Linked DNA regions of Elephas maximus indicus. The protein of the gene in region 1 interacts with the protein of each later gene in a pairwise test. Links are inferred from orthologs where the notes say so. Each region holds a gene or a part of one and is shown on either strand. Other genes may lie near its edges. The genes, in order: SDCBP, FTL, LZTFL1 and TNFAIP8.

Evidence for each region.
Region 2: the proteins of SDCBP (region 1) and FTL interact in binary tests that used the Homo sapiens proteins (3 or more experiments, as listed by UniProt). The two-hybrid records come from large-scale screens. The link is inferred for Elephas maximus indicus from reciprocal best matches to the Homo sapiens genes SDCBP and FTL.
Region 3: the proteins of SDCBP (region 1) and LZTFL1 interact in binary tests that used the Homo sapiens proteins (3 or more experiments, as listed by UniProt). The two-hybrid records come from large-scale screens. The link is inferred for Elephas maximus indicus from reciprocal best matches to the Homo sapiens genes SDCBP and LZTFL1.
Region 4: the proteins of SDCBP (region 1) and TNFAIP8 interact in binary tests that used the Homo sapiens proteins (3 or more experiments, as listed by UniProt). The two-hybrid records come from large-scale screens. The link is inferred for Elephas maximus indicus from reciprocal best matches to the Homo sapiens genes SDCBP and TNFAIP8.

The regions. Positions count from the first base shown.
Region 1 is NC_064833.1:85,377,134-85,384,923, forward strand, and holds the start of SDCBP (syntenin-1), read right to left. Parts: upstream 3,012-7,790; 5' UTR 2,919-3,011; intron 1-2,918. UniProt on the Homo sapiens protein: Multifunctional adapter protein involved in diverse array of functions including trafficking of transmembrane proteins, neuro and immunomodulation, exosome biogenesis, and tumorigenesis.
Region 2 is NC_064829.1:99,378,014-99,384,257, forward strand, and holds FTL (ferritin light chain), read left to right. Parts: upstream 1-4,164; 5' UTR 4,165-4,384; coding exon 4,385-4,486; intron 4,487-4,647; coding exon 4,648-4,794; intron 4,795-5,128; coding exon 5,129-5,254; intron 5,255-5,429; coding exon 5,430-5,582; 3' UTR 5,583-5,743; downstream 5,744-6,244.
Region 3 is NC_064838.1:50,174,732-50,181,954, forward strand, and holds the start of LZTFL1 (leucine zipper transcription factor-like protein 1), read right to left. Parts: upstream 3,002-7,223; 5' UTR 2,883-3,001; coding exon 2,880-2,882; intron 1-2,879. UniProt on the Homo sapiens protein: Regulates ciliary localization of the BBSome complex. Together with the BBSome complex, controls SMO ciliary trafficking and contributes to the sonic hedgehog (SHH) pathway regulation. May play a role in neurite outgrowth. May have tumor suppressor function.
Region 4 is NC_064820.1:139,564,511-139,572,351, forward strand, and holds the start of TNFAIP8 (tumor necrosis factor alpha-induced protein 8), read right to left. Parts: upstream 3,007-7,841; 5' UTR 2,679-3,006; coding exon 2,606-2,678; intron 1-2,605. UniProt on the Homo sapiens protein: Acts as a negative mediator of apoptosis and may play a role in tumor progression.

The DNA.
Region 1 (7,790 bases):
TGTGGGGTGTACCTTGAATCCATCTCTTTTGAGATATAAAACAAATTAAAAAAGCTAATAGAGGAGATGGGGGAAGAGAAATGCCAAGCCACACAAAGATCTCGAAAGAAAAGAAGCTGAAGAGACAAAGACCCTTCTCCAGAGCTGACAAGAGAGAGAAAGCCTTCCCCTAGAGCTGGCACCCTGAATTCAGACTTCCAGCCTTCTAAACCGTGAGAAAAAAAAATTGTTTGTTAAAGCCATCTACTTGTGGCATTTCTGTCATAGCAGAACTAGATAACTAAGAGGTGTCAAGGAACACACTCTGATAAAGTCCTTTACGGCCTGCCAGGGCAATGTTTCTCAAACTTGGCTAATCATCAGAATTACCTGGGGCACTAGTTAAAAACAGTCTCCCAGGCTGACACAGATTTAGTAAATGAAAAACTTCATGGAAGGACGTAGGAACTTGTCTTTTTAATAAATATCCAGGGAGATTCTGATGATTAACTGCTGAGAAATTACGGCCACACTGAAGTCTACTCTGAGTACAATAATTTCTTCTTACCCATATGATTTGGACTGGCAAAAATTCAGAGTTTGACAATACACTGACAGTAAGGGAGAAACACTCTCAAACATTACTAGTGGAAGTGTAAACTAGTACAGCCTCTGTCAGTATCCATCAAAACTATAAATGCCGATACGCTCCACCCAGCAATATCCATTCAGGTTTTCAGTCTACAACACACTTGAGCATGAAGACACTAGAAGAAGAGCAGCACAGTGTAGAGCAATGTATATAGTATGCTAACATTGGTACTGAAAGGAAGGGGAAAGTATACTTAAACACGCTTTCTTACAGAGGTATGAACTATACCTGGATGGATACCTAAGAAACTTTTAAAAGTTGGTTGCCTACAAGACGGGAAAATGGTTGGCAAGGGGACACAGATGGACGAAGACTTCATACCTTTTTTAGTTAAATTTTGAACCAAGTGACTGCATTTCTTTCTCAAAAAAGTAAATAAACCTACACACAAAAAAAGTTGGCAACACTTATAAATAAATTAATAAATGCTAGTACCCTGGTGGCGTAGTGGTTAAGTGCTACAGATGCTAATCAAAGGTCAGCAGTTCAAATCCACCAGGCGCTCCTTGGGAACTCTATGGGGGCAGTTCTACTCTGTCCCATAGGGTCGCTATAAGTCAGAATCAACTGGACAGCAATGGGTTTGGTTTTTTTGGCTTAATATAACTAGGGAGTCCCTGGGTAGTGCAAAAGATTAACATACACAGCTTCTAACCAAAAGGCTGTCCGGTGAAGTCCACCTAGAGGCACGTTAAAAGAAAGCCCTGGCGATCGATTTCAGTAAAATCAGCCATTGAAAATCCTATGGAGCACAGCTCTACTCTAACACTCACGAGGTCGCCAGGAGTCAGAGTCATTGTGAAGGCAACTGAAGGAGCCCTGCTGGTTGCAGTGGTTAAGAGTTCAGCTGCTAACCAAAAGGTCAGCAATTCGAGTCCACCAGTGGCTCCCTGGAAACCCTGTGTGGCAGCTCTACCCTGTCCTATGCGGTCACTACGAGTCAGAATCGACTCCACGGCAACGAAGAGATGTAAAAAATATTTTAAAGTTGTATGGCGTAGCCTCTTTTTAGAAACTCCGGGCATTTACTCCCCCCCAAAATGTGCCTAATTTTTGGGGAAAAAAAAGTTGAGTCTCGCTCATTTTAAGGAACTATTTTACTGAACAGTACATTTAAGTGCCAACTCTTGCTAAATTCAGCCGCTTTTGGTCAATGATTTTTATATCCTCTCTCATAACGCCCAAAATAGAAAAATTAATGCTGCCAAAGTTAAGCTGGGATCACAATTGAATAATTACTTCCTGAAGCTTTTAAAAGTTGTTCGCTTTCTTATTTTTATTCTGTGGCACAAACCACTTGACCTCTAATATTTACCTACCCTTCAAAGCACAAAAGCTTACAGAACTAATTTGGAAACAGAGAAAATGAGGCACTCACATTTTGGGCTGTTTGTTCTTAATCTCAAATAGAAAAATGAAAAGATTGGACAAATTTAAGTTTTAACCAATCACTTACATAGATCTGAGGTAAATCTAACTTACAAAGACTGCAGCTGTTTTTCGATGTAATTTTCCTTTCCAATCAACTGTCTCCTTGGAAGCAGTGGATGTTAAAGAGTGTGACAAGCTAAGGGTACTTTCTAAGTAATTACTTTTATAACGGAGAAAATAACAGTAAATTTGCGCGCAGGTAATATATACAGACTACACAGACCTAAAAATTTCCCTCGAAAATCGGCACATTGTAAGACCCCATGATTCAGTAATTCCACTTTGGTGAACAAGAAAACTTTCCAAATCCGTACGTTTCACTTTTTTATTATTACAGTGAAATCCTGAAAGGAAAGCTGTGAGTCACCAGATCTCAAGGGCTATTTCCTTGTGAACACACCCTACCGGCTGCGGCTTCCTTTCGTCCAACTTCTCCAGAAATCAGCGCACAGCCTCTCCCCCATCCCTTCCCGAAAGCCAGGCTTCGCCCACTAAACAAACACCTCCTTCCTCCTCCAAACCCCGGGCTTGCCGACTCCGCCAAGGGCAGATTATGTCCGAGCCAGGAACCGAAGCCCGCGACGGGTCACGAGCAGCGGCTCGCTCTTCACTGGTCCCTGGAGACCTCACCGGGAGGAACAAAAAGGGTCGAGGAGGACCTGGCCGACCCCGAAGGCGCCGCGCCCGCCAACTTCGCCCGGGCCCGGGGCGCGGAAAGGCGCTAAGGGGTGGGCTAAGGGTTTCACCTCCCGGAACCGGGGCCCCGGACGCTCTCCGCTAGGTGCTCGGCGCCGCCGCGCCTCGTCCCCGCGCCCGGACCGCGCGACGGACTCGCCCCGCCCCCAGAGCCGCTCACCTAGGCCCAGGGATCCGCCGCCTGCCGCTTCCTCGGCTCCAGGAACAGACTTCCAGGACCCCAGACGAGCCGCACCGCGAACACCCGAGGAGCCGCCCACAAGCCCGTCACGGCCCGCCCCCGCCTTCCGCCCGCGCAGGCGCGGCGCCGCCGTCAGGTGACCGGTCCCCTTGGTAACGGGCCGACGGCCGGGCGATGCAGGGGCGGTGGGAGGCCGGGGGCGGGGCGATGCAGGGGCGGTGGGAGGCCGGGGGCGGGGCGTCGCGGGGGCGGGGGGAGGCCGGGGGCAGGGCGATGCAGGGGCGGTGGGAGGCCGGGGGCGGGGCGTCGCGGGGGCGGGGCGATGCAGGGGCGGTGGGAGGCCGGGGGCGGGGCGTCGCGGGGGCGGTGGGAGGCCGGGGGCGGGGCGATGCAGGGGCGGTGGGAGGCCGGGGGCGGGGCGTCGCGATGCAGGGGCGGTGGGAGGCCGGGGGCGGGGCCTCGCGGCGGCCTGCTGATCCCCACAAGGTCCGCCGGCCGCCGGCGGTTCTGCGCGCCTCCTCTTTCCCCCCGTTTGCTGTTGATGCCCAAGGCCCTTGCGTCAAGGGACAGATGCCGCCCCCTCGCTACTGCGCTTCTCTCCGCTCCCTTGGTTCCCGTCGCCTCCAATAGAAAGAGGCTTGGGGGCCCCACGCGTCCCCCATTTCCCGGCCAGCCCACGCCCTCCTCGCCGCCGCCCAGCCCTCTCTCCCCGCCGCGTCGCTCCGCCCGCAGGCTCGGAAGCGGTCCTCTCACTCCCGCGTCCCCACTGCTGCCGCTCTTCTGCTGCGCTGCTCGCTGTGGCATTTGTTACTCTTGGCTCACCTGAGCTAACGTCCGCTGGCTGATGCGGGCATGTGTGGTACCGCGCAAAAGTCATAACTGTATCCTAACACGAAAACAGAATGAAAACAATGCTTATTATACGCCAGGCACCGTTATAAGAACTTCATGTATATGGTCTTACTTGGTCCTTAACGTGGAGTCCCGGTTAAGACAAAACCTCAAACAGTTATGCATCAGGATAAGCTTTTTCTTTGCTTGGCTTCTTCCCCCAGTGTTGCATTAAAATCCTTGTTTCATTCGCTTGCCTTCCGCCCCCACGACTTTGCGTTAAAATCCTTCTTTGCTTAGAAGTTGTATGTAAACCCAATTGCGCCTGCGTAGTGTGATTAAGAATGTTGCCGACTTAATTTGTATGAACTCCCTACTTTTAAACCCCTTAAAAGTAACTTCTCCCCTCGGCTTCAGAGAAGAGTCTTAGTGGCAGCAGCTGCGACTGACTCCTTTTCCTGGCGCAAGGAAATAAAGTTTGCCTTCTTGCTCTCCCACCTCGATCTCTCATTTATCGGCAAATTCAACTCATGCCAAACAGAGCCTGGGGTTTCCACGTGGTAACATTTCAGCGCAGGGTTAAAGCAGTCCACTGCTAACAGAAAGATCAGCGGTTTGAAAGCACCAAAGATACGGCAGTCTGCTTCCCTAGAGATTTATAACCTTGGAAACCGTATAGCATTAACTTTGAGTTAGAACCGGCTCTCAGCAATGGGTTTGTTGTTTCCCCCTCCCCTAGGGTCCTTAACATCAATCTATGAGGTAGACAAGAACATACCTCTTTTAAGGAGGACACAACTGAGGCACAGGTTATCTGCGAGCATCTAATCATAGTTACCGTAGATGTACTCTACTCCAATATGAATTCTTGACAAGCAGTTCTTCTAGTTAAATTATTTCATGCCACTGTATTAAAACTGATAAAAATCAGGATAATAATAAATGACAAGGTGGAAAATTTAGTCCTCAGGGAGCTATGGTATAGCTGATAAAATAAACCCCAAACCCATTGCCATCAAGTCGATTCCAACTCATATCAACCCTATAGGACAGAGTAGAACTGCCCCATAGAGATTCCAAGGAGCGCCTGGGGGATGAGAACTGCCGACCTTCTGGCTAGCAGCCATCATACTTAACCACTATGCCACCAGGGTTTCCAGCTGATAAAACAGACATTAAAAAATAATTACACAAATAGAGTCGTGGTGGGTGTTTGAAGAAGTTCAGGGGACTATGAAAGATATTGCAAGGAAACCAACATTAGTCTAGGAGTTCAAGGAAAGCTCCCTTGAAGATGTGGCTTTTAAGCTGACGAATAAAAATTAGCCAAGTGACAAATGGAGGAAAGTGTTCGAGGTAAAGGGAATAGCACTTGCAAAGGGAAGTTGAAATGAAACTTGATTCCTTCCGGGAGCTGAAAGGCCCTTGTGGCAACACAGGGTAAGAGAAGGAATGGCATCAGATGAAGCTGGACAAGTAGGCAGGACCTTACAGAAGCTAATGAAAAAGATCACTCTGGGCTGCTTAGAGGATGGACCGGATGTGAGGACAAGCCCTGGACGTGGGAAGGTCCTGTAGGAGACTACTGCAGTGATGTAGATACAACCATTACGGTGCAAATGGAGAAAAGCAGAAAACCTCAAGAAATACTAGGACAAAGACACAGTAAGACTTGGTGGTTGATGGAATGTGGATTAAATGTGCTGGCACGTTTGCTGAGGTGAGGCACACTGAAATGAGCAGATATAGGAGCTAAGAAGAGTAGAAACTTAAAGGAAGCTTCTAGCATGAAATATAGAAATCAAAACAAATAGAAAAAAAAAGGAAATGGGATGAAACAGATAAAAAAACCAATATAAAAAAATCTATCAGTATTTTCAGAGATAAACAAAATAGTACATGCATGAAAGAGGAACACGATGATATTTGCAAGGAACATTCAAAACCTTATGTTTAAATGTCTATATTTTACAGGAAAGTATAAAAAATTCATAGAAAGTTTGGAAGATAAAGTCAGTGAAATCTTTTAGAAACCAAAATCAAGGAGACGGGAAATAGAAGAGAAATATCAAGATCAAGGATCAGTCCAGGAGGTGCAACATCCAAAATGCAGAAGAGAAACTAAAGAAAAAATAAACAAGTAATGCAAGACTGTCACGAGGACTGGAGGACAGGTGCCTCCTGACTGACAGCATGCACTGAGTTCCTAAAACAATTAATTTTTAAAAAGACTCACACAAAAGCACATCACTGTGAAATTTTAGAACATTAGAGATAAAGAATAGGTCCTTATAGTTAATAAGGTTAAAAAAAAAAAAAAAGTCTTATACTCAGGACCGGAGTTCCGAATGGCATGCAATTTCTCAACAGAAATACCTGAAGCTAGAAGACAATGAGCAATGCCTTCAAAAGTAAAGGGAAAAATGATTTCTAACCTAAAAGTCTATACTGATCCAAAGTATATCATCAAAGTGTAAGGATAGAATGAAGGCATTTTCATATATATGAAGGATTAAAAATTTACCTCTATTTCGGATTAAATTGTGTCCCCCTAAATGTGTTATGGATTAAATTGTATCCCCTCTAAAATATGTGCTGGAATCCTAACCCATGTACCTGTGGGTATAATCCTGTTTGGAAATATGGTTTTCTTTTTTATGTTAATTAGGTCATACCCAAACTGGATGGGTCCTGAATCTTATCACTTATGACTTATAAAAAGAGCAAAGAGATATGCACGTGGGGGAGGGTGTCTTGGTGGAGACAGAAACCATATGAGAATTGTCTACAAGTCAAGGGACCAAGGATTGCCTGGTCCCCCCTACAAGGAAGGCATCCACACAGCCAAGACTTCTAGCCCCCAGAACTGTAAGAAAATAAATTTCTGTTCTTTAAAGCCACCTACTTGTGGTATTTCTGTTGCAGCACTAGGAAACAAAAACAACCTCTCATGAGCTATTGCTCAGGAACTTAATGGAGCATTTGCTCCACCAAAATAAGAATACAAGAAAAAGGAAAATGGGGAGGAGGGGAGGTTCCCACAACACAGGGACTCCAGTGCAAGAGGAGGCAAAAGGAGAGAGAGGATGATGTTAAAAGGCGATCCCACGATGACCACCACACAAGAAGCTTAACAAGCAACCATACTGACTGGAACTGGAACTGGATGACGGATGTTCTAGGAGGAGCCGCTCCAAGAAGAGTCATATGTTTGAGCAAAGTGAGGAATTCACGCACTGGTAGAGTGGGGGATGAATTAATGATAAGAACTTAGAGTACACAGCACTGGGGAAAAAACAAGGGAGATTGTAATCATAGAACTCTATGGTTCACCTTTGAATAATATTTGCATAGATGTAATAAGATAAACATAATACCAGTTTAAGCCCTATGATCATAGGTTAGCTACTAACACTAATGTAGTTATTTCTCAGAACATCTTACTTTCCTCAGGACTTTCAGTGGTCTGGTACAAAACTATATCCACAAATAAGAATATAACCTATCTAACAATTCCCATGGATCCCCTGGGTGGTGCAAATGGGTAACACACTCAGCTGCTAACTGAAAGGTTGAAGGTTTGAATCTACCCAGAGGCACCTTGGAAGACAGGCCTGGCGATCTACTGCTGAAAAATCAGCCATTGAAAAATCTATGGAGCACAGTTCTACTCTGACATACATGGGGTTGCCATGAGTTGGAATTAACTGGATGGCAACTGGTTTACTGGTTAACAATTACCACAGCAGGATACAACTAACCAAAGAACTTACTGCACGCAAAAGTCTAATGTTCCACGTTACCCTCGAAGTACAAAGGAAAACAACAAAACAAAAACAAAAGCAAAACAGTTGCCCTCCAGTGCATGACGACCCATGTGTGTCACAGTAGAACTGTGCTCCCTCCACAGGGTTTTCAATGGCCGATTTTTTGAAGTAGATCGCCAAGCCTTTCTTCTGAGGTGCATCTCCGTGGATTCAAATTTCAGGTCTTTTGGTTAGTAGCCAGTGCTTCACCATT
Region 2 (6,244 bases), on another chromosome or scaffold:
CCCCCAGGTCTCTCTCACCCTCTCTGAGTCTCTGCCTACCCCTCTCTGGGTCTCTGTATCCCTGTCTATCTGCCCCCCTGCCCTGGGTCTCTTTCCTCTTCTCTCTCTGGGTCTCGATCCTTCTCTCTCTGGGTCCCTGTCCCCCCAGGTCTCTTTCCCCCACTCTCTGTGGGTCTCTGTGCCCCTCTCTTTCTAGGTCTCTGCCCCCCTTTCTCTCTTTGGGTCTCTGTCCCCCTTTCTCTAGGCTTCTGTCCCCCTCTCCCTGGGTCTCTGTCTTTCTCTCTCTATCTCTGTTTCTCCCTCTCTGGGTCTTGGTCCCTCCCCCAGGTCTCTTTCCCCTGCCTCTCTGAGTTTCTGTCCCCCTCTCTTTCTCTCTTGAGTATCTGTGCCCCCCACCCCCATGTCTCTGTCCCCCTCTCTCTTTCTCTGGGTCTCTGTCCTGAGTATCTGTCCCCCTCCCCATGTCTCTGTCCCCCTTCTTCTGTGTCTTGGTCCCCCCCAGGTCTCTTTCCCCCTCTCTGAGTCTCTGTCCCCCCTCTGGGTCTCTGTACCCTTCTCTCTGGGTCTCTGTTCCCCTCTCTCTCTGGGTCTCTGTTCCCCTCTCTCTCTGGGTCTCTCCCCCCGACCCCGGTCTCTGTCCCCATCTCTCTCTGGGTCTCTGTTCCCCTCTCTGGAACTCTGTCCCCCTCTTGGGTCTCTCCCTTTCTGGTCTCTGTCCCCCCCTCTCTGGATCTTTTCCCCTTCTCTAGGTCTCTGTTCCTCTCTCTCTAGGCTTCTGTGTCCCTCACACTTGGGTTTCTGCCCCCTCACTCTCTGTTTCTTTCTCTCCTGCAACCTATGGTCTCTACCCCTCTTCTGATCCTCTCTGTCTCAGCCCCTCCTTTCCCTCCACTTGTGGACACTTTCAAAATCCCCTTTCCATAGGTGGGGCTTGCCTGGGGCTAAAGGTCTTTAGGCTGAGGAATGACAACTGGTCAATCAATAACTAGGCCTGACTAACTAGGTGGCTCAGGTCACTTACCCTCCCCCCTCCCCCATGTGCTCTCCCCAGAGACACTAAGTCCAAGCCAGACACCAAGTCAGGTGAGAAATGTCGGAGATATATGAGCTGAGACTGAGCCCCTGACCCAGAGAGAGGGAACGCTATGGCCACAGGAAGAATCTCCAGGAAAGACATAAGGGAACTGAGATAAAGTATGACGTGGAAACAAAAACATCTTGGGGGAGGGGGCCACAGGCCTGGTTCTGAGGGTCTCAGTCAGACCAATTGCAGCTGGCCCTGAGGGGATGAGGTCAGGGGAGGGGGGCCCTCCCACCTCAGTCCTGGTCCCCTTCCTGTGCCGAGCTCACCATGACTCAGCATAGCCACTCACCCAGACGGCCTTTGTTGTTGGGTGCCGAGGACTCAATTTCAACTCATAACTACCCCCATATTACAGAGTAGAACTGTCCCATAGGGTTTTCTAGGCTATGATCTTTAGATCTTTATGGGAGTATATTGCCCGGTCTTTCTTTCACAGAGCTGCTGGGTGGGTTTGAATTGCTGACCTTTGGGTTACGAGCCAAGTACTTAAACTTTGTGCCACCAGGGCTCCTTAACACCAAAACCAAACCCATTGCTGTAGCGTCACTTCTGACTCAGGGATCACCTTTTGGTTAGCAGGTGAGCTCTTTAACCACTGTGCCACCAGGGCTCCTATACACGCCCCTTAGGGACCCCAGATACTGGCCCAGCCTTGGCATCCACAGATCCCCTGGGTGAAGGGCTACCCCGCCTGCACTGGCTGGCGTGGCTGCTCTGCCAAGCAGACCTGACCTCTTACCCCTCCCCTGTGACTTCTGTTCCTATGCCACATGAGCTACCTCCATTACCGACTCATCTAGGGTCCAGTTGCTGTCTTTGTACCTTCCTCCTCTACACAACCAGGAGACTTGGTTGGGCAGTGATTAAGCGTCTGGCTGCGAACAGAAAGGTCAGCCTTTCAAACCCACCCAGCAGTTCCGTAGGAGAAAGACCCTGCTTTCATAAATATTACAGCCTGGAAAGCCCTATAGGGCAGTCGTACTCTATCACTTGAGGTCGCCATGAGTCAAAACCTGTCTTGATGGTACTCAACAGGGAGCTCCTTGAGGGCAGGGCCCTGCTTTGAGTCAGCTCTGCCTTCCCAGTCCCAGTATGAGCCTGGCTCACTTAAAAAAATGTATGTACAATGAAGACAGTCTCCTCCTAGGTCCCCAGGCTCTCCTAGTTTCCCGAGAGACCCTGAAGTAGTGCATATTGGGCTGGACACCCAACTACCTCTGAGAGGTCCCTTCAGGGCCAGAGAGAATTTCCACAGTCTTTAGACTGCCTCCAAAACAAAGAAACCCAATACGATCAAGTCGATTCTGACTCACAGCGACCCTATAGGACAGAGTAAAACTGCCCCATAGGGTTTCCAAGGCTGTAAATCTTTACAAAAGTAGACTGCCACATCTTTCTTCCAACAAGGGGATGGTGGGTTCCACCACAGACTTTGCGGTTAGCAGCTGAGCACTTAACCACCGAGCCACCAAGCCTCCTAGCCTCCAAAATAGTTCCCAGGAAATGCAGCCCAAGAGACCCCCCCCCCAAGGCTCTAACGTTATTTCCTACACACACCCCAATCTCAGCATCCAGAAAAACACTGCTGTTTTGTTTTTAGGTGCCATCCAGTTGCTTCCAACTCATAGCAACCCTGTGTACAACAGAATAGAACACTGCCTGGTCCTGTGCCATCCTCACAATCCTTATGCTTAAGCCCATTGTTGCAGCCATTGTGTCAATCCATGTCCTTAAGGGTCTTCCTCTTTTTCGATGACCCTCTACTTCACCAAGCATGATGTCTTTCTCCAGGGACTGATCCCCCCTGATAACACGCCCAAAGTATGTGAGATGTAATCTCGCCATCCCTTAAAATAGCCCCAAGGTATCCTGAAAGCCCAGACAATTCTTCCAAGATTCCAAGAGCTCTTGAGGGTTCCTGAGTCCCCCTACCTCTCAAAAAGTCCCTGTTCCTGTTAAGTGTCATTGACTCAATTTCAAAACATAGTGAACCTATGTGAGCCCTGTTGGCACAGTGGTTAAAGTGCTTGGCTGCTAAATGAAAGGTTAGTGGTTAGAACCCACTAGCCACTCTGTGGGAGAAATACCTGGCCATCTGCTTCCATAAGGATTACAGCCTTGGAAACCCTATGGGGCAGTTCTACCCTGTCCTATAGGGTAGATATGACTCAAAATGGACTTAACAGTAATGGGTTTGGTTTTTTTTTTAATGTTTGCGGGGAGCAGACCACCAGGTTTTTCACCTGCCTGCCAGGTGGATTCGAATTAAAATAGTGCCTAGATTTCCAGAAACACCCCAGCCCTTGAACCCCAAGGCTCCAAAACCACTGCTTTTCACAACTTGCAGATTCCTCTGAAGGCCCTAGAGACCTCCCCCAGCTTCCAAGAAAGGCCTCCAAAGAAACAGACTTCTTAGATCCAACTCTAAAGCTAGAGAGACCTTCCACTTTTGGGTAAACACTAGGGAAACAGCTCTCCTATCCCACAACCCAGCGAGACCCCCACCCAAAACCCAGTGCCATCGAGTCGATTCCGGCTCATTGCGAAGCGAGACCCCCAGGGTTCCAGAAATACTCTTCTTGGGGCCTTCCAAATTTCCTAATGACCGGGAAACCCCTTATCTTCCACAAGCAACCCCCCCTGCACCTCTAAGGAAGCCCCAGGGTTCTAAAAGAGTCCATGCTTTCAGAGACAAGCCCAGAATCCTACTTCCCTGAAACATCCCCAAGACCCCAGGATCATCACCGCCCAGGGCTCCCCAGTGTTCCCATAAACCTCCCATCTTCCAGAGCTGCCCCCAGAATCCCCCGACTTTGCGAATAAGCCCCAGGACCCTGCACCCACCGAACCCGCCTAGCACCCACTTCCTCCCCGCATTCCCATTTCACAACAGTCTCACGCTCCAAGCGCGTGACTCCCCAACCCCGGGGGGGCTGGGGGGAAGGGGGGAGGCGCCTATCTGTTCTGGATTGGTCAGGCGCGGGCTCAAGTCCCGCCTCCCGCCACCGCGGACTGGTCGACAGATCGCCCTGAAGCCCCGCCTGCGAGGAGCCGCATGCTATAAAACACGCCGCCCTGGCCCCCACCTTCCTTAAGCTCGCTCGGTGGTCCCGTGGATCTGTTTCTTGCTTCAACAGTGCTTGGACGGAGCAGACCCGGGGACGCCCTACCTCCAGCTTCGCGCTACCTTTCAACCTCGTCTCCTACGCGCAACCTCTGGGACCATCTTCTTGGCCATCCCCTGTTTCCAGGACCAGCTAACACCGTTTTTTGTAGTTAGCTCCTAATCGTCGACGAACCATGAGCTCTCAGATCAGTCAGAATTATTCCGCTGAAGCGGAGGCCGGCGTCAACCGCCTTGTCAACCTGCATCTGCGGGCTTCCTACACCTACCTCTCTCTGGTAAGGGTCCCCGAGACGTCCCCGGCCCATGTTTTCCCTAGCTGCGCACCTCCGGCCCTGTGCGCACGCGCGGACCTTCTTTGTCCCGTTGGATAGCAGAGGGCGGAGTCCTTCGCCTGGCCTCGCCTTCCATTAACCTTTGTTCCCTCTACCTCCCGCAGGGCTTCTACTTCGACCGCGACGATGTGGCCTTGGAAGGCGTGGGACACTTCTTCCGCGAGCTGTCGAAGGAGAAGCGCGAGGGTGCCGAGACTCTTTTGAAGCTGCAGAACCAGCGTGGCGGCCGCGCCCTCTTCCAGGATGTGCAGGTAAGTGGCGTGTGGGCCACGGACTACATCTCCCAGCAGGCCTTCCGCACAAGGCATTTGGACAGCTGCTCTGTAGGCGCTGTAGCGGATTCTTAGGAGATTGGGTTCGATCCTGTCTGGGTTTGTTTTTGGGCGAAGTAAAGGTGCTTTCCCAAGTAGTGGCCGGCCAGGCTACTGGGTGGTCTCATGGGAGGCAAAGTTGTAGGAGGCTTGGCGTGATAGATCAAGCATCCTTGCAGGCTAGGTCCATTATCCTCAGGGACTTCTGGGAAATGTAGGTTTTAGGTGTTTGCCAGATGTGTGAATAGTTGTGAGTCGTCTTTTTCTTGTACAGAAGCCGTCCCAAGATGAGTGGGGTAATACCCTGGACGCCATGGAAGCTGCCCTGGCCCTGGAGAAGACCCTGAACCAGGCCTTTCTGGATCTGCACGTGGTGGCTTCTGCCCAGGCAGACCCGCATGTAGGTACCGCCTTCATCCGTTGCAGCCCCTCCTCAGACCTTCCCTGGCGTTTAACCTTACAGTCTGAGCTTGCTTTCTTCTTTGATTTACTGGGCAGATTGCTTTCTGAGGACCACATTTGCCTCCCTCTTTCTCAGGAACTGCGTTTCTTATTTCTCCTTTCATATTCCTCAGCTCTGTGACTTTCTGGAGAGACATTTCCTAGATGAGGAGGTGAAACTCATCAAGAAGATAGGCGACCACCTGACCAACATCCGCAGGCTGGCCGGGCCCCAGGCTGGGCTGGGCGAGTATCTCTTTGAGAGGCTCACCCTCAAGCATGACTAGGAGCCTCCAGAGCCTCCTGTGAGGGCCCCTCTGCAATCTTCTGTCCTCATCAGGCTTTTGCCTGAATTTCTCCCTTTAGCTTTTAGGCAGCATCTGAACCACCCTGGAGGGCCCTCTCCCAAGCCGTGGACCAAATGGAAACAATAAAGCTTTTTGCAGCAGCTACTGGTGTTGTGTGTATGGTGTGGAAAAGGAGTTATAATCTGTTTTCACAGGTCTTCAGGCTGTGCTGGCAGGGAGAGGGGGCCCTATCTTTCATTATCTTATATTCTAAGGCAGGACTTTTTCCAGGGGGTTGTGTACGGGGTAGCTTCAGTTCTGTTTGCCTTGGCTGTTAACTTTCTCTCCTTGATGGTAGAGCCCAGACTCCAGGGAGGGTTTGGTGGCAGACCCAGGCATTGTTACAGGGAGTAAAAGTAATTAGAAACAGGTGTTGCTTAATGAGCAATTATGGGGCCAGGCTCTGTGCCAACCTCTTAAACAGCTACTATCTCTGGCTCAATCCTTGGGGGTAGATGAAATAATTATCCTCATTATATGGGGAAATTTACGACACAGTTAGCTGCTCAACTACTAGCTGAAAGGTCAGTGGTTTGAGCCTACCCAGGGATGTCTTGGAAGATGGGCCTGGATATCTGCTTCTGAAAGGTCACAGCCTTGAA
Region 3 (7,223 bases), on another chromosome or scaffold:
CAAAATGCAAATTTTCAATCATTCTTCATTGCCTATAGCATTAAATCTACAATCTTCAGCCCCCGACACCTCGAAACTTTCTCTAACCCTGTTGCCCAGGATTCTACTATATAAACACTCAACTTTAGCCAAACCAGTCTGCTTATCAGCGTTGAAACACAACTTAAAATTTCCTGCCTCGACTTGTACTCATGTTACCCTGATCCTTGCTTAAAAATGCCTCTCCATTCCTATTTGAGACTCTGAATCCTACCCAGTGGTGTGCTGGCAAATGTTGAATATCTGGTTCACTGAGGGGGTGGGAGGAGGAGCTCCGATTTGTGGCACTTGCTGGTTTTCCTAGTGTGACTACTCCCAGTGTGTGATGTGACCGATGCTGAGCTGAGAAGGGAGGCAGACAACTGACTCTCACCAGCTGCCGGCATGCTCCCTTCCACCACTGACTTCCTCCCCAGCCTTCGCGGCCTAATCTGTTCTCCCTACTCTGTGAAGCCTCCCAACCCACCCCAGTAGCTCTAGTCATGCCTTCCTTCAAAAACACTGATCTCTGCTACTTATCTGGCACCACCACAGACGGATGAGGACTTGTACTATTAGTTATCTGTGCGCTTTTTTCCAGGTGTTGCTGCTCCAACTAGATGGTAAGCTTTGTGAGGCCTGGAGTCATCACTTGCACCCCGCAGCACCCAGCACAGTGCCTTGTGCAGAGTACACGGCCAAATCCTATCGGTTAATTATTTTCTCTTGCCAAGGACAGTTACCAGTCCTAGGAAAACCCTGGTGGCATAGCAGTTAAGTGCTATGGCTGCTAACTAAAAAGTCAGCAGTTTGAATCTACCAGGCGCTCCTTGGAAACTCTATGCGGCAGTTCTACTCTGTCCTATAGGGTGGATATGAGTCAGAATTGACTTGATGGCAACAGGTTCAGTCAGGACCAAGAAGAAAAAGAACTTACTCAAACCGAGAAAGATAAAATTTATGACAAAGGACAGAGAAGTCCCTCTAAAATAAATAAGAACAAGGGAAGGGAGCAGAAATGGACAGCTGAGTTCAGTAGGAAAAACAGCATTAGTCTAGGAAGAGGCCATTCACAAATCTTGCTTCCCCGTATGTGCACAGGGTTCAGGTCATTATGAGAGAAAAAGGAAGAGGCTGATGCGAGCTAAAGCACTGGGTTAAAAGCCAGGTTTAAGGCTAGTTCCATAACTATCTACCTGTGTGGCCATCACCATGTCACTTCACCTCCCCAACACCAGTTTCCTCATTTGTTAAATGAAAGAGAGATATGGTCAGCTCTAAAATATTTAGAAACAATGGGAGGTATCCAAACAGGAAAATCAGAATTTTTAAAAATGTTGTTGCAGAAATGTTTTATTAAATTATCAGAAAGAGCTGAAAATAGAGCAAGAAATCCCATCAGAGCAGGAAGTTAGTGTCTTGAAATTGTGTTAAGAAGTGGTGATGGTGGCAGGGGGGTCTCCTGCTCTGAACCATACCCACAAAGCCAGATACAATTTCACAATGAAAAGGAAGAAACTGTAATGATAAAAATGAGCATAGAGTAATAAACCTACCATACACTGAGTGCTTAACATTTTTACAGGTACTGTGCTCTTTATTGTATATGCATGATCTTGTTGTTTAAACAACCCTTGTGTAATTATTATCATCTGCGGTTTACTAAGGAAAAAACCGAGCCTGTTGTTAGTGGAAAGGGATGAGAGAAGACAGAAAGGAACAGATGTAAATTTGTTCTAACGTCATCATTTTTTTACACTTTTTCTCATGATATTTTGGGGAAATCAAGAGAATGAGTGGAACAGGCACTAAGCTCAAGGAGAGTATGCAGTAGTCTGTTTTGTTCACAGCTTTACATTCAGCTCCTAGTCAGTGTTGTTGTGTACCATCCAGTCGACTGAAACCCACAGTGGCTCCATGTGACAAAGTAGAACTGCCCCACAGGGTTTCCCAGGCTGTAATTTTTGCAGGAGATCTCCAGGCCCTTTCTCCAGCAGAGCCGCTGGTGGGTTCAAACCCTCAACCTTTCAGTTAGCAGCCCGGTGCTTAACCATTGCGCCACCAGAGCGCCTTGCTTTGAAAGTAGATGAGCTCAATAGAATTCTGGTTGCTGAGGGGATATTTCAGTAGCCCGTTTAAGTGGTGCCCCCAACCCTGGTTCCACCCCTTCTTCTGAACACATCGGTACTGTGCATTGCTCTTTCTGAGTGCTATTTAAACTGGCACGCTTATCCGCTGGGGGAATAAGTGGGATATGTGGATTAGCGGCATACAAGAAAAAGTGGTCTTTTCTGAACGGACTGCAACAACGGAAACATCACCTGTTTCCTCAGCTGCAAAATGGGTGGAAAGTTGGATTCAATCACTTTCTTCCTACTCGGCTAGTTAACTTGTTTATGCAACCAAAGGAAGGTGGGTACGGGGGTGGGGGTGCTGTGTGTGTGTGCATGTGTGTAAGACAGAGAAAGAGAACAACAACTTGGAGCATCATCGGAGTGGAGTGCGAATCCCGCCCTGGGCCTTCTGCTGGCAGCGGTTTCCTTCAGCCCTCTTCACCCGTCACCTGCGAAGCGCGACTTGGCCCGGGTCCCCCAGCAGAAGCCAGGAACCAGGCGACGCTGCGGACCGAGGCTGCTGGAGAAGGCTTCAGCCAGGATTATTCCGAACGGGCTTCGGCCGAGGTTAGCCGATCCCTTCCTCCCCCGTGCCTGTCACAGCCTCCGTACTCGCAGAGGCCCGGAAACGGGACTCAGACCCGCCACTGGCCATGCCATCGCTCGGGGCCCACCCGCTCCGCGCCTCCAGCCCCAGCCGCAGCTCTCTCCTTGGCGCGATGCGGCGCTAGCGGGTGGGCTACTCACCATGGCAGCGGGCTGGAGTCACCAGCTTCCGGAAGCAGGAAAGGCCGAACCCGGGATCGTCCAGGGTGGCTGGACCACAAATAAAAGTGAGGGGAAGGCGGGTTGTTTGGAAGCCTCCTGTTGCTATTAGAAACGGAGCACGTGGTCTTGAAGTTTTGCATTCTCATTGGCATTCAAGATCACGCGACAGGAAGTACGGCGTGACGAGCGCACTGCCGCATGCGCATTCGCTTCCAGAGGAGGAAGTCCCGCCTTTTCATGCCACGCTACCTTTGGGAGCCGGCGGCTGTTGCCAAGGGTAACGGGAAGAGAGGCGAGGCCTGGGGCCCTGATGAGCTCGGGTATCCTTCATCCTCCCTCCTGTTCTGGACTGAGGTTTTGTGGCACATTTCCCGCCGCCTGGCGCCCCCATGGTGGCAGACATCCCCAGCCCTGCCAGGGTCCTGGATAGAGGCCTGAGCTTTGAACGACCCTCCCCTATCCTTGCCCAGCATTTTTCTTCTCACAGCCCTGCTACAAAATCTCTAATTTACCACCGTGTCTTAGTTATCTGGAATCCCTGGTGGCATAGTGGTTAAGTACTACGGCTGCTAACTAAAAGGTCAGCAGTTCGAATCCACCAGGCGCACCTTGGAAACTCTATGGGGTAGTTCTACTCTGTCCTATAGGGTCGTTATGAGTCGGAATCCACTCCACCCAACGGGTTTGGTTTGGTTTTCTCAATTATTTAGGGATGCTACAACAAATACCACAAGTGGGTGGCTTTAACAACAGAAATTTATTTTCTCACAGTTTAGGAGGCTAAAAACCACTACCATCTAGCTGATTCCGACTCACAGCGACCCTATAGGACAGAGTAGAATTGTCCCATAGAGTCTCCAAGGCTGTACATCCTTACAGAAGCAGACTGCCACATCTTTTTCCCTAGGAGCGACTGGTGCGTTCGAAGAACCAAACTTTCAGTTAGCCGAGCACTTAACCACTGCACAACCAGGTCTCTGAATTCAGGGTGCTGGCTCTAGAAGGCTCTGTTTGTCTCTTTTCAGCTTCTATTTCTAAATTCCTTGGCGATCATGTGCCATGTATCCGCCTCATTTCTGCTTGCTTGCTTGCGTAGCCTGCTCTTTTCATATCACAAAAGAGATTGATTTAAAACCCACCCTATGCTAGTACTCCCACATTAACATAACAAAACTCATTCCCAAATGGGATTATAACCACAGGTACGTTAAAAGCAAAAAACAAAAAACAACCGTTGCCATCAAGTCGATAGGGGTTAGAATTTACAAAACACATTTTTTGGGGACACAATTGGACCCATAATTCACCACTTTCCTAAAAACAAGCAAAAGAAAGAAAAAGAAAAACCACAAATGGTGTCAGTTTCACAGAGAGCCGGATTTTCAAATTATTATGCCCAGAATTATCAGGGAAGTTTGCTGAATAAATATCTTCCTTCGCCTCATCCCAGAAATCTGATGCCCCCTGAAGTCTAATTTGGGACCTTGGAATCTACAGTTTTTACTGACCTTCCAGGAGTGATCACAATCCGCTCGTTAAGAAATGCTGCGCTAGAAAGGCCAAGGTGTAGGACCTGACAGATTATTATAAGTAGCAGAGGCTTGGAGCTGGGTGGGCAAAGTCCATTGAGTGGGCATTTCAGCAGGCTCAGAAGACAAAAACGTCCACCAGATCTGATCTCTGAAGGCAATGGGTAAGCTAAAAAGTTGAGTTCAGTGCCATGTTTTTGTTGTTAGGTGCTGTCGGGTCAGTTCTGACTTACAGTGATCCTATACACAACAGAATGAAACGCTGTTCCGTCCTGCACCATGCTCACAATCGTTGTTGTACTCGAGCCCATTGTTGCAGCCACGTGTCAATCCATCTCATTGAAGGTCTTCCTCTTTTTCACTGACCCTCTACTTTACCAACCATTATGTCCTTCTTCAGGACCTGATCCCTCCTGATAACATGTCCAAAGTGTATGTGATGAAGTCTCACCATCCTTGCTTCTAAGGGGAATTTTGGTTGTACTTCTTCCAAGAGAGACTTGTTTGTTCTTCTGGAAGTCCATGGTATATTCAATATTCTTCACCAACACCATAATTCAAAGGTATCAATTCTTCTTTGGTCTTCCTTACTCATTGTTCAGCTTTTGCGTGCCTATGAAAAACCACTGCCGACGAGTGATTCCGACTCATAGCAACCCTATGAGTTGATTGAAAATCAACCTATGAGGTGATTGAAAATCCCATGGCTTGGGTCAGGCACACCTTAGTCCTTAAAGTGACATCTTTGCTTTTTAACACTTTAAAAAGGTCTTTTGCAGCAGATTTGCCCAACACAATAAGTTGTCTGATTTCTTGACTGCTGCTTTTATGGGCATTGATTGTGGATCAAGTAAAACTAAATCCTTGACAACTTCAGTCTTTTCTCCGTTTATCATGATGTTGTTTATTGGTCCAGTTGTGAGATTTTTTTGTTTTCTTGATGTTGAGGTGCAATACATATTGAAGGCTGAAGTCTTTGATTTTCATCAGTAAGTGCTTCAAGGCCTCTTCACTTTCAGCAAGCAGCATTGTGTCATCTGCATATGGCAGGCTCTGAATGAGTCTTCCTTCAATCCTGATGCCACGGTCTTCTTCATATAGTCCAGCTTCTTGGCTTATTTGCTCAGCATACAGATTGAATAGGTATGGCGAAAGGATGTAAACCTAACACACACCTTTCTCGACTTGAAACCATGCGGTATCCCCTTGTTCTCTTCAAACGACTGCCTCTTGGTCTATGTACAGGCACCTCACGAACACAATTAAGTGTTTTGGAATTCCCACTCTCGCAATGCTATCCCTAATTTGTTATGATCCACACAGTCAAATGCCTTTGCATAGTCAGTAAAACACAGGTAAACATCTTTCTGGTGTTCTCTGCTTTCAGTCAGGATCCATCTGACATCAGCAACGGTATCCCTCATTCCAGGTCCTCTTCTGAATCTGTCTTGAACTTCTGGCAGTTCCCTGTGGTTGCATTGCTGCAACCACTTTTGAATGATCTTCAGGAAAATTTTACTAGTGTGTGATATTAATGATATTGTTCGATAATTTCTACATTCAGTTAGATCACCTTTCTTTGGAAGGGGCACAAATATAGATCTCTTCCAGTCGATTGGCCAGGTAGCTGTTTTCCAAATTTCTTGACATAAGTGAATGAGCACCTCTTAGGCTGCATCTGTTTGTTGAAACATCTCAGTTGGTATTCCATCAATTCCTGGAGGCTTGTCTTTTGCCAATGCTTTTCGTGCAGATTGGACTTCTTTCTTCAATACCATTGGTTCTTGATCATATTCTGCCTCCTGAAGTGGTTGAACATCAACCAATTCTTTTTGTTACAGTGACTCTTTGTATTCCTTCCATCTTCTTTTGATGCTTCCTGAGTTGTTTAATATTTTCCCCATAGAATCCTTCAGTATTGCAACTCGAGGCTTGAATTTTTTGTTTTTTCCAGTTCTTTCAGCTGAGAAATGCTAAGCCTGTTCTTCCCTTTTGGTTTTCTATCCCCAGCTCTTTGCACATGTCATCATAATACTTTACTTTTTCTCCTTGAGCTGCCCTTTGAAATCTTCTGTTCAGCTCTTTTACTTCATCATTTCTTCCATTCGCTTTAGCTACTCAATGTTCAAAAGCAAGTTTCAGAGTCTCTTCTGACATCTATTTTGGGCTTTTATTTCTTTCCCATCTTTTTAATGACTTTGTATTTTCTTCTTGTATGATGTCCTTGATGTCATTCTACAAATCGTCTGGTCTTTGGTCATTAATGTTCAATGTGCCAAATCTATTCTTGAGATGGTCTCTAAATTCAGGTGGGATATAATCAAGGTTGTATTTTGGCTCATGTGGACTTGCTTTAATTTTCTTCAGCTTCAGCTGGAACTTTCGTACGAACAGTTGAGGGTCTGTTCCGCAGTCGGCCCCTGGCCTTATTCTGCCTGATGATATTGAGCTTTTCCATCATCTCTTTCCACAGATGTAGTTGATTTGATTCCTGTGTATTCCATCTGGTGAGGTCCCCATGTATAGTCACCGTTTACATTGTTGAAAAAGGTATTTGCAATGAAGAAGTCATTGGTATTGCAAAATTCTATCGTGTGATCTCCGGCAACATTTCTGTCACCAAGGCCATATTTTCAAAGTACTGATCCTTCTTTGTTTCCAACTTTTGCATTCCAATCACCAGTAATTATCAATGTATCTTGATTGCATGTTTGATCAATTTCAGACTGCAGAAGTTGGTAAAAATCTTCAATTTCTTCATCTTTGGCCTTAGTGGTTGGTGTATAAATTTGAA
Region 4 (7,841 bases), on another chromosome or scaffold:
GAGCACTTAAAGAAAAAAAAAAAAAAAAAGGTTCACTTTATAGGACAGGGATAAGGCAATGGCTCAAAGTGGAAAACGTGCTGAGGATTATCTTCAGAATGGAGATCATTCACTCATCCTACAAATGCTGAATGAGCACCTCTTACCGTGTAGGTGTTGGAGCTACAGTGGGGGATAAAACAGACATGATTTCCATCAAAAACTTGTGGTCTAGAGGAGAAGACGTGTTAAACAAGGTAACATATAATTAAAAAATGTGGTGGATACCAGAGATGAAAGAACCGGTGCAGTAAGAGAGGGCAACAGATATCCTAGTTTAGGTTGGAGGCTCAGGGAAAGCTTCTCCAAGGAGCTGTCCAGTAAAAGGGGGTGAGGTAGAGAAGGATATTCCTGCCAGAAAGAAGAGCCAAGTACCAAGGCCCTGAAGTGAGGAGCTTGAGCATGTCTGTTTGCAGAAGGGAAGAAGCCAGAAAAGACAAAGGGCCAACTGATGCGGTAAGGGGCGTAGGGATTAGGGAGGAGCTGGTGAAAGGAGTGGCCTTCTGCAGAAGGTGCAACACCTGTTCCACAAACATCAAGGGGTGAGTATGGGTGACAGTGAGTCTGTCAGTCTGGGAGGAGAAAGCTGAGGGAGTTGTCTATTTGGTACTATTTTCTTTGTGAAACAGCAGGCCTGGTGAGGCATGAGAGAACAGGGAGAGGTGGTGCCTGGGAACGGCTACTATGGGCAATAGAGAACTGAACTTACTCACTGCTCAACCCTTACTCTTTTCCTACCTTCAAGTCTTCAAAAAGCAACCCCTCCTGACAATGGCTTCCTTGCTTTATGATACCACAGATATAATGACCAGGACCAAGGAGCTCTGGTTCTCAGCACCAGAAATGTCCTCAGATCTTAACTGTCATTCATTTTTACTATTTCACAATTAAGTAGCTTTACTCAACAGGAAGCGACTAAATGCTAAAAATGTGGCCATTGGCCTATCTCCTCAGGAAGCACCATCCTCTGGAAACTGTTGACATCCTCCTTTTAACTGTCTTCCCCTTTTTTATTAAATGGGTTTCTTCACGCTCCAGTTTGCTGGCCGCTTCCAAACTTATAACCAGAAAGCTGGGAAACGAAGGAAGATTGTGGATGTTGCTAGATGAATGTACAGTACATATTTCAGGATACTGTTGTCTGCTGTCTCCCCACTCTCTCTTTACCAAGAGAGGAAAAATATACCTGGGAGAATACTCCCATTTAAGTGCTACTTGCCATTCATACAAAAGTTGACCGTTGGATTTTCTCAGCTCAGTTCCTATTTGCCTTCAACTACTTTTGCCTTACTCTGAACTGTAGGTATAAAGACTCAGAAAAGAAAAGCGTCCACTAGCACGGAGCTCCATCAAGACGGAGGCCACAGCAAAGAAACATTCATCCACCAAGCCCCACACCAAGCTCGAAAACAATGCTCCTGGCTGTCATTTTTCATTCATGCTAGCCCCATATTCCTATTAACCAAGCTTCCTTTTTATTGACTATTTCCCTCACACAGCATAACAAAGTAAATGTCAGCCCACAGAGGCTACATTATGAAACACAGAGTCTTACTTACACAGAAAGTAAGTAAGAGACCAAAGGGAACAAGTTTCAAGTGCCCTCCCTACGTGATGTCTACCAAATGGAGAAGTGATGGGGCTCCTTCCTGCTCCTGGCCCTGCAGGAGCCCCAGTGATTGACTTAAAATTTATCAGCTTCTCAAGAGGCTGTTTGAAAAGAAAAGGAATTTCACAATCTTGAACAGTCTCCCCCTCTTACTCTGTTTTCCCCAATCACCCCCACCATCACAAGAGGACTTTTGTATACATAAAATTTCAGGAAACAAAGCATACAAACACTCACACACAAATAAACTCCCCAGACTAACACCAGCGTATAATTGTGTTTGGGTTGGAACTTTTCCAGCCCTGTCACCCGTTCTCTGTTAGGAGTAAATGAAACCCTTTGCTTTGGCAAAGTTAAAAACAGACAAACTCTCCTCAGTTTCAAGCTGCACAAGGCTCCCCTCATATCTCTCAGGTCTCCTCGAGTCCCCTGCCCCCCCTAAATGAACTCACAGCTGAAAAACCAGCGGGGGGAGGGGGCGAAAAGAAAAAGAAAATCCCATTCCCCAAATAAAGTCCTTTTCACGTCTTCCCCTTTCGTCAGCTTCTCCTCTCGGCCGGAAACACGTTTTCGATTTCTGAAACCCCTTTTCAAGGGACCCACAACTCTCCGGGCTCTTCGAAGAGATCCAGTTTTCCGCTGTCCTGATGCAGGCAGGCAGCCCTTTCACACATTTTGCATTCTTCGAGTCAATACTCGGGCTGTTTTGTTCCCAGAGAAATCTAAAAAGCAGCCTTTTGTGGGTTTTTCCTCCCTTCCCCTCTGTACGGCTGCCTGGTGACAACGGAGCCGAGATGGGTATCTGGCTCCGCATGTCCATCTCCAACCTGGCTGCGAAGGCACAGGGATCGGACAAAGTACCTATAGCACTTAAAACTCCCATCCATTTCCCAACTCTCCCTTCCTCCACATTCCTCAGCAAAACTTGGCCCGCCCCGAGAGAAACCACAATCGTACCTTCCTTGGATTCCTCTGCTTCGGAGTGCATGGTGTCAGGGTAACCGGCTGCAGAGGCGATTACCGTAGACATGTACTCGGAGGAGCTGCAAGTTCGCTCTGCAGCCAAAACTTACAGTCGCACCCAACAGAAAATAAAAGGAAGGAAAGTCACTTAAATCAAAACCTCCCCGGGGCGGGAGGGCTGGTTCTGGTGCAGGGATTTTCAGGGGGAAAGTTCTGCAACAGTGACGAATCGCGTCTCGGCTGGGTGGCGGGAGCCGCCCCCGGGGCTGCGCGCCGGGCCCCGTCGCTGGGCGGAGACAACCTGGCGCGGCTGGGTCGGCCTGGGCGCACGCAGGTGGGGCTGCGGCCAGGACCACAGCCCGATGACGCCCAAGAGGCAGGGCCAGGGGCGCCAGTCCACAAACGACAAACATAAATGAAATCGGCTGCGCTAGAGAAAGAGACATGCGATAAAGGGATAACAAGTCTCAGTGCTAGCTGCAGTTTTACATAAAAAAAAATATATATATATATATATATCTACACGCAGCAAATGAAGTGCTTCTGCATCTTTGGGTTACATTTTTCGACGCCCATCTGACTTCCCTTGTCTTGGGTCTTACATGCCAAAAATGATAGATTTTAAAGCTGCTCGGTTGCATTCATGATTTGCAAAAGAAAGTAATGCGGATGTTGTCGACGGGGACCTAAGGACCAGCTTCACAAGGAACTGGGAGCCAGCCCAAGAGCAGGTCTTTAGAACGTCGGGGGGCCTGCGATCCTTACCTTTGTACAGAAAATGCAGATGGGACCGCTTGCTCAGCATAGCCCCTGGCAAGCATTCTTACCCAGACCCCAACCAGGCAGTAGTAATTGCTCAGCAGTTACACTAAATGGTGGCCTTCACATAAAGCACCATACCCATACCTTCTTGCGCACTAGCAACTAGTGATACACTGCTTCAAAACGCCAGAGGCGGCGGTGCGGGGGTGCGGGGTGTGGCGGCGATTCAAGCCTTAGAAACGCTGATGGAATAAAGAGGATAAAGAGCCTTGAGAACCGATCTTAGTCCCGCCCCGGGGTCCGGCCCACCGAAAAGTCAGCTTAGCTTTTGGAACCTCGGTTTTCCATTTGAGAACCGGGGACAATAGCTGCCACCGAAATACCTGTCATATGGGGAAGCGTTTTGTAGCAGAGCAGTGGTTTTATTACCAACCTAAGGCAAACAGTCCTCAAATTACATATCTGAAAGATCGCTTTGGAAATTGTGAGCAGAGTCATATTCTTTTAATAAATTTAATTTCCAGACGCTTTTTTTTCTCAAAAAAAAAAAAGAGTAGAGGCACTAAGGTAAATTTAGTGAAAAGAATAGACGAACGATACGGATTCAAAGACTGAATTAAAGTTTAGTTCTGCCATTTATTATTTGTATCACCTTAAGTAAAGAGGATCTCTGAGCCTCCATTTCCTCAGTTGTAAAATGAGGATAAAAATAGTATTATTACTTACTTCACGGATTTATGCTTGGTATTAAATAAGGTAATACAGGTTATTTGAAAAACATAAAGGACTACAGGGTTTAACGCTAACTACTGCACTGCAACGGTTAAACCCTGGGCTGCTAACCAAAAGGCTGTTGTTTGAATCCACCCAGCAGCTCTGCAGGAGAAAGACCTGGCAATCTGCTTCTGTAAAGATTTCAGCCAAGAAACCCCTATTAGCCACCCCCCCAAAACAAAACAAAAAACCCGTTGCCTTGGATCTATTCCAACTCACAGCAACCCTATAGGACAGGGTAGAACTGCTCCATAGCGTTTCCAAGGAGCAGGTGGTGGATTCGAACTGCTGACCTTTTGGTTAGCAGCCAAGCTCTTAACCACTGCACCACCAAAAAAAAAAAAAAAAAAAAACCACCAAACCCAGGGGTGCGAAAACCCTATAGGGCAGTTCTATTTTGTCATATAGGGTCACTAGGAGTCGAAACTGACAACACTGCAGCACTAGAAGTTAATTTTTTATAACAGATGTTAGGTGCCTTCGCGTGGGCTCCAACTCATGGCAACCTTATCTACACCAGAACAAAATGTTGCTGTCTTTGTGTCATCTTTATGACCGCTGGTACGTTTGAGTCCATTGTTGTAGCAACTGTGTCACTCCCTTTGAGGGTTTCCCTTGTTTTCACTAACTCTCTACTTTACCAACCACGATGTCCTTTTCTAGCGATTGGTCTTTCCTGATGACATGTCCAAAGTAAGTAAGCTGAAGTCTCGTTGTCACGTAAAAGACGCTCAAGTTTTATTTCAGTATAAATTACTATTGGATTTGAACTGAAAAGAGTGTTTATGCTATTCACAAGCAGTGAAGGTTATTATAAATACTGACATGAGGCCTAGATATTGCTGAGTGATTCTAACAGGCCTAAGACTCTAAGCAAAACTTTATCTCAAATTCTCTGAAAAAAAGCAGGATGATGAGAAGAGGGCTAACTAGCCAGAGAAGAGAGAAGAAGAGAAACATCTGGAAAATATCAGTATTCCAGAGCCTCCCGGAAACTGGCCTTGCCATCAAAGGCTAACAGGCCCCCCTTTCTGCAAGTGGCAGTTAGCTGCATAGTCCCCTCTGCCAGACATCCTGAGTCAGGGGCTGCTAAGATGTATACCTTGCACTCAGTACCCTCAGACCTATGGGGGAGACATGATTCCTACCTGAGCTGAGACTCATTCTGAACACAAAGCAATACCTCTCCAGCAAGGCCTGCCAGTCAGAAGTGGCCTTTCTTGTCCTACCCTCATGCATCTGCCTTTGCCCTCCCTACCTCAGTTCAGATGTCCTTGAGCAGCCCTTCAAGATCCCACCAGGGCTGTGTGCTACACAGATAAATAGCTTCCACTGATCCATAATTAGTTTAATACTGAAAACTGGTTCAAGGTGATGATTATGCAAATTTCAAAAACAAAAACTTGATGCCCTGGAGTTGAAATTTAAACAACTAAAATTTCACACCTGATCCACCCCCCAGGCAGGCTTCGCTTCTATTCTCTCCTTTTAGAAAGTACCCCCATAAACCAAAAAACTAAACCCAGTGCTGTCGAGTCGATTCCGACTCAATAGTGACCCTATAGGACAGAGTAGAACTGCCCCACAGAGTTTCCAAAGAGCGCCTGGCGGATTCAAACTGCTGACCCTTTGGTTAGCAGCTGTAGCACTTAACCACTATGCCACCAGGGTTTCCAGTATCTCCATAAGAAGTATTTATTAAATGTCCTTTTTGCAAGTCCAATGTGTACCCCCATAAGAAGTATTTATTAAATGTCCTTTTCCAAGTCCAATGTGCCCAAACCACATTAGCTGTGTTAAAATAAATGCTGTAATCTCCCTGTCTCAGCTGTTTTGCTTGCTTTACACTAGGTTCACAAAAAGATCTCCAGCCCTTCTCAGGTTAGCCAAGGAGAACACCTGCTGAATGAACAGTTCCAGCGCCAAGTCAGCCTTGTAATTCAATTTACTGTCATTTTAACAGGTCAGCTGAGCTTTGAACATTCATCAACAATCCTTAGGAAACCTACAGAAAAACTTCTTTTGTATTTAAATACAATCTAGCAGTCACCTTGAGGAAGAATGTCCTTATCTAGCTCAAGAGCAATGAATGCTCAGCTTATTTTAAAAGATTATGTGTGGATAAGGACACTCCTCTGTTGTCAGATATAACCTCAAAGCCATCTGCCACAGGCAAACTATACTGCTCCATGCTCCCACCCCTCAAAAGATGCCAAAGGGCAGCTCATTCTCTTTCCTTACTCTTCTGATTTATACTAGGTTGGCCATTTCATCTTGACTTTGCAGTGTTTTTATTCAAAAGGGTGTTATTTTTTAGCCCCAGTGAATAGTGGTTCACTACATTGTAAAAGATTTGTATCTCTTATAGATGGGACCTGTTCACTCTAGTATGTACAAGAAACATGCCAACATCATTCATCTAGCAGTATGTTTGGAAGTCATACCAACAATGTATTATGGACTGCCTGATACAAGATAATAAATAAGTTAGCAACACTTCTCATTTAATACCAAGCTGCATTAAATACTGTATTGAACTCTTACTCATTTCTTACAAGCAATCTCCAGCAACACTTCTCATTTAATACCAAGCTGCATTAAATACTGTATTGAACTCTTACTCATTTCTTACAAGCAATCTCCTACCTTCTGTATCAAAATGGGAGAGTTAAAATGCTGCCTAAGACTCTGATGGTTTCTATTATCAAAAATGTACATGTGTCACACATGTAAATAAGACCTGCTGACCTGGAGCATACTGATCTAAAGAATCCAACCTTCCAAGTCTTCTTGGCTCCCAGGAAAGTTTCAACACTATCTCTCAAATAAACTTTATCACATGGGAACAGAAAAATCTCCTCTGAAATTACATCTCAATAACTAGTTGCTATGGAGTTTTGACTCATGGCAACCTCGTGTGTGTCAAGAGTAGAACTCTGCTCCACAGGGTTTCCAATGGCTGATTTTTCGGAAGTAAACTGTCAGGCCTTTATTCAGAGGCATCTCTGGGTGGACTCAAACCTCTACCCTTGTACTTCACAGGCTAGCACATTAACTGTTTGTATCACACAGGATTCCATACCTCAACAAAACTGTTAAAAAAAAAAAAAGCATGGGCCTTTGGGCCTTTTGCTCACACATACCCAGGAGTCTGCTAAGAAGAGGGGAGGACAGCGAGTTTTCAAGACAACACATGAGAAGACCAGCAGAACTGGGAAGCAGGAGGTGAGGTTGATTTTGACAGTATCACGTACTCTGCTTATACTCACGAATGTTATAATTTCTCCACAGTGAAAAGAACTAAGCATCTCTGTAAACTAGTTATATATGCCTGTGGCTTCTAGGTCATAGGAACCTCAGGTCACAAAAGCCGTCATATCATCAATATTTTATTTCTACACTGCTGATATGAGGATAAATCTGTACATACAAAATGTAGGTCAGGGGAAAGAAAAGAGTTCTTAGTATAAAAAGTGGTTTTCTTCTATCTGATTTTGAGGCTTTCCTCATCTTTTCCTGTATTATTTACTTTTTTTTTTTTTTTAATACCCTTGAAAGTCTTATACGACTTCCATGACCTAATAAAGGTGGCTTTAGATCTTTCTCCTCACATGTGGGAAGGATTTGTGCTTTGAGCCTGGTTAGGGCTGTAGACTCTGCATTTCTCCTATCATCCTCAGACACTCTCTCTGCA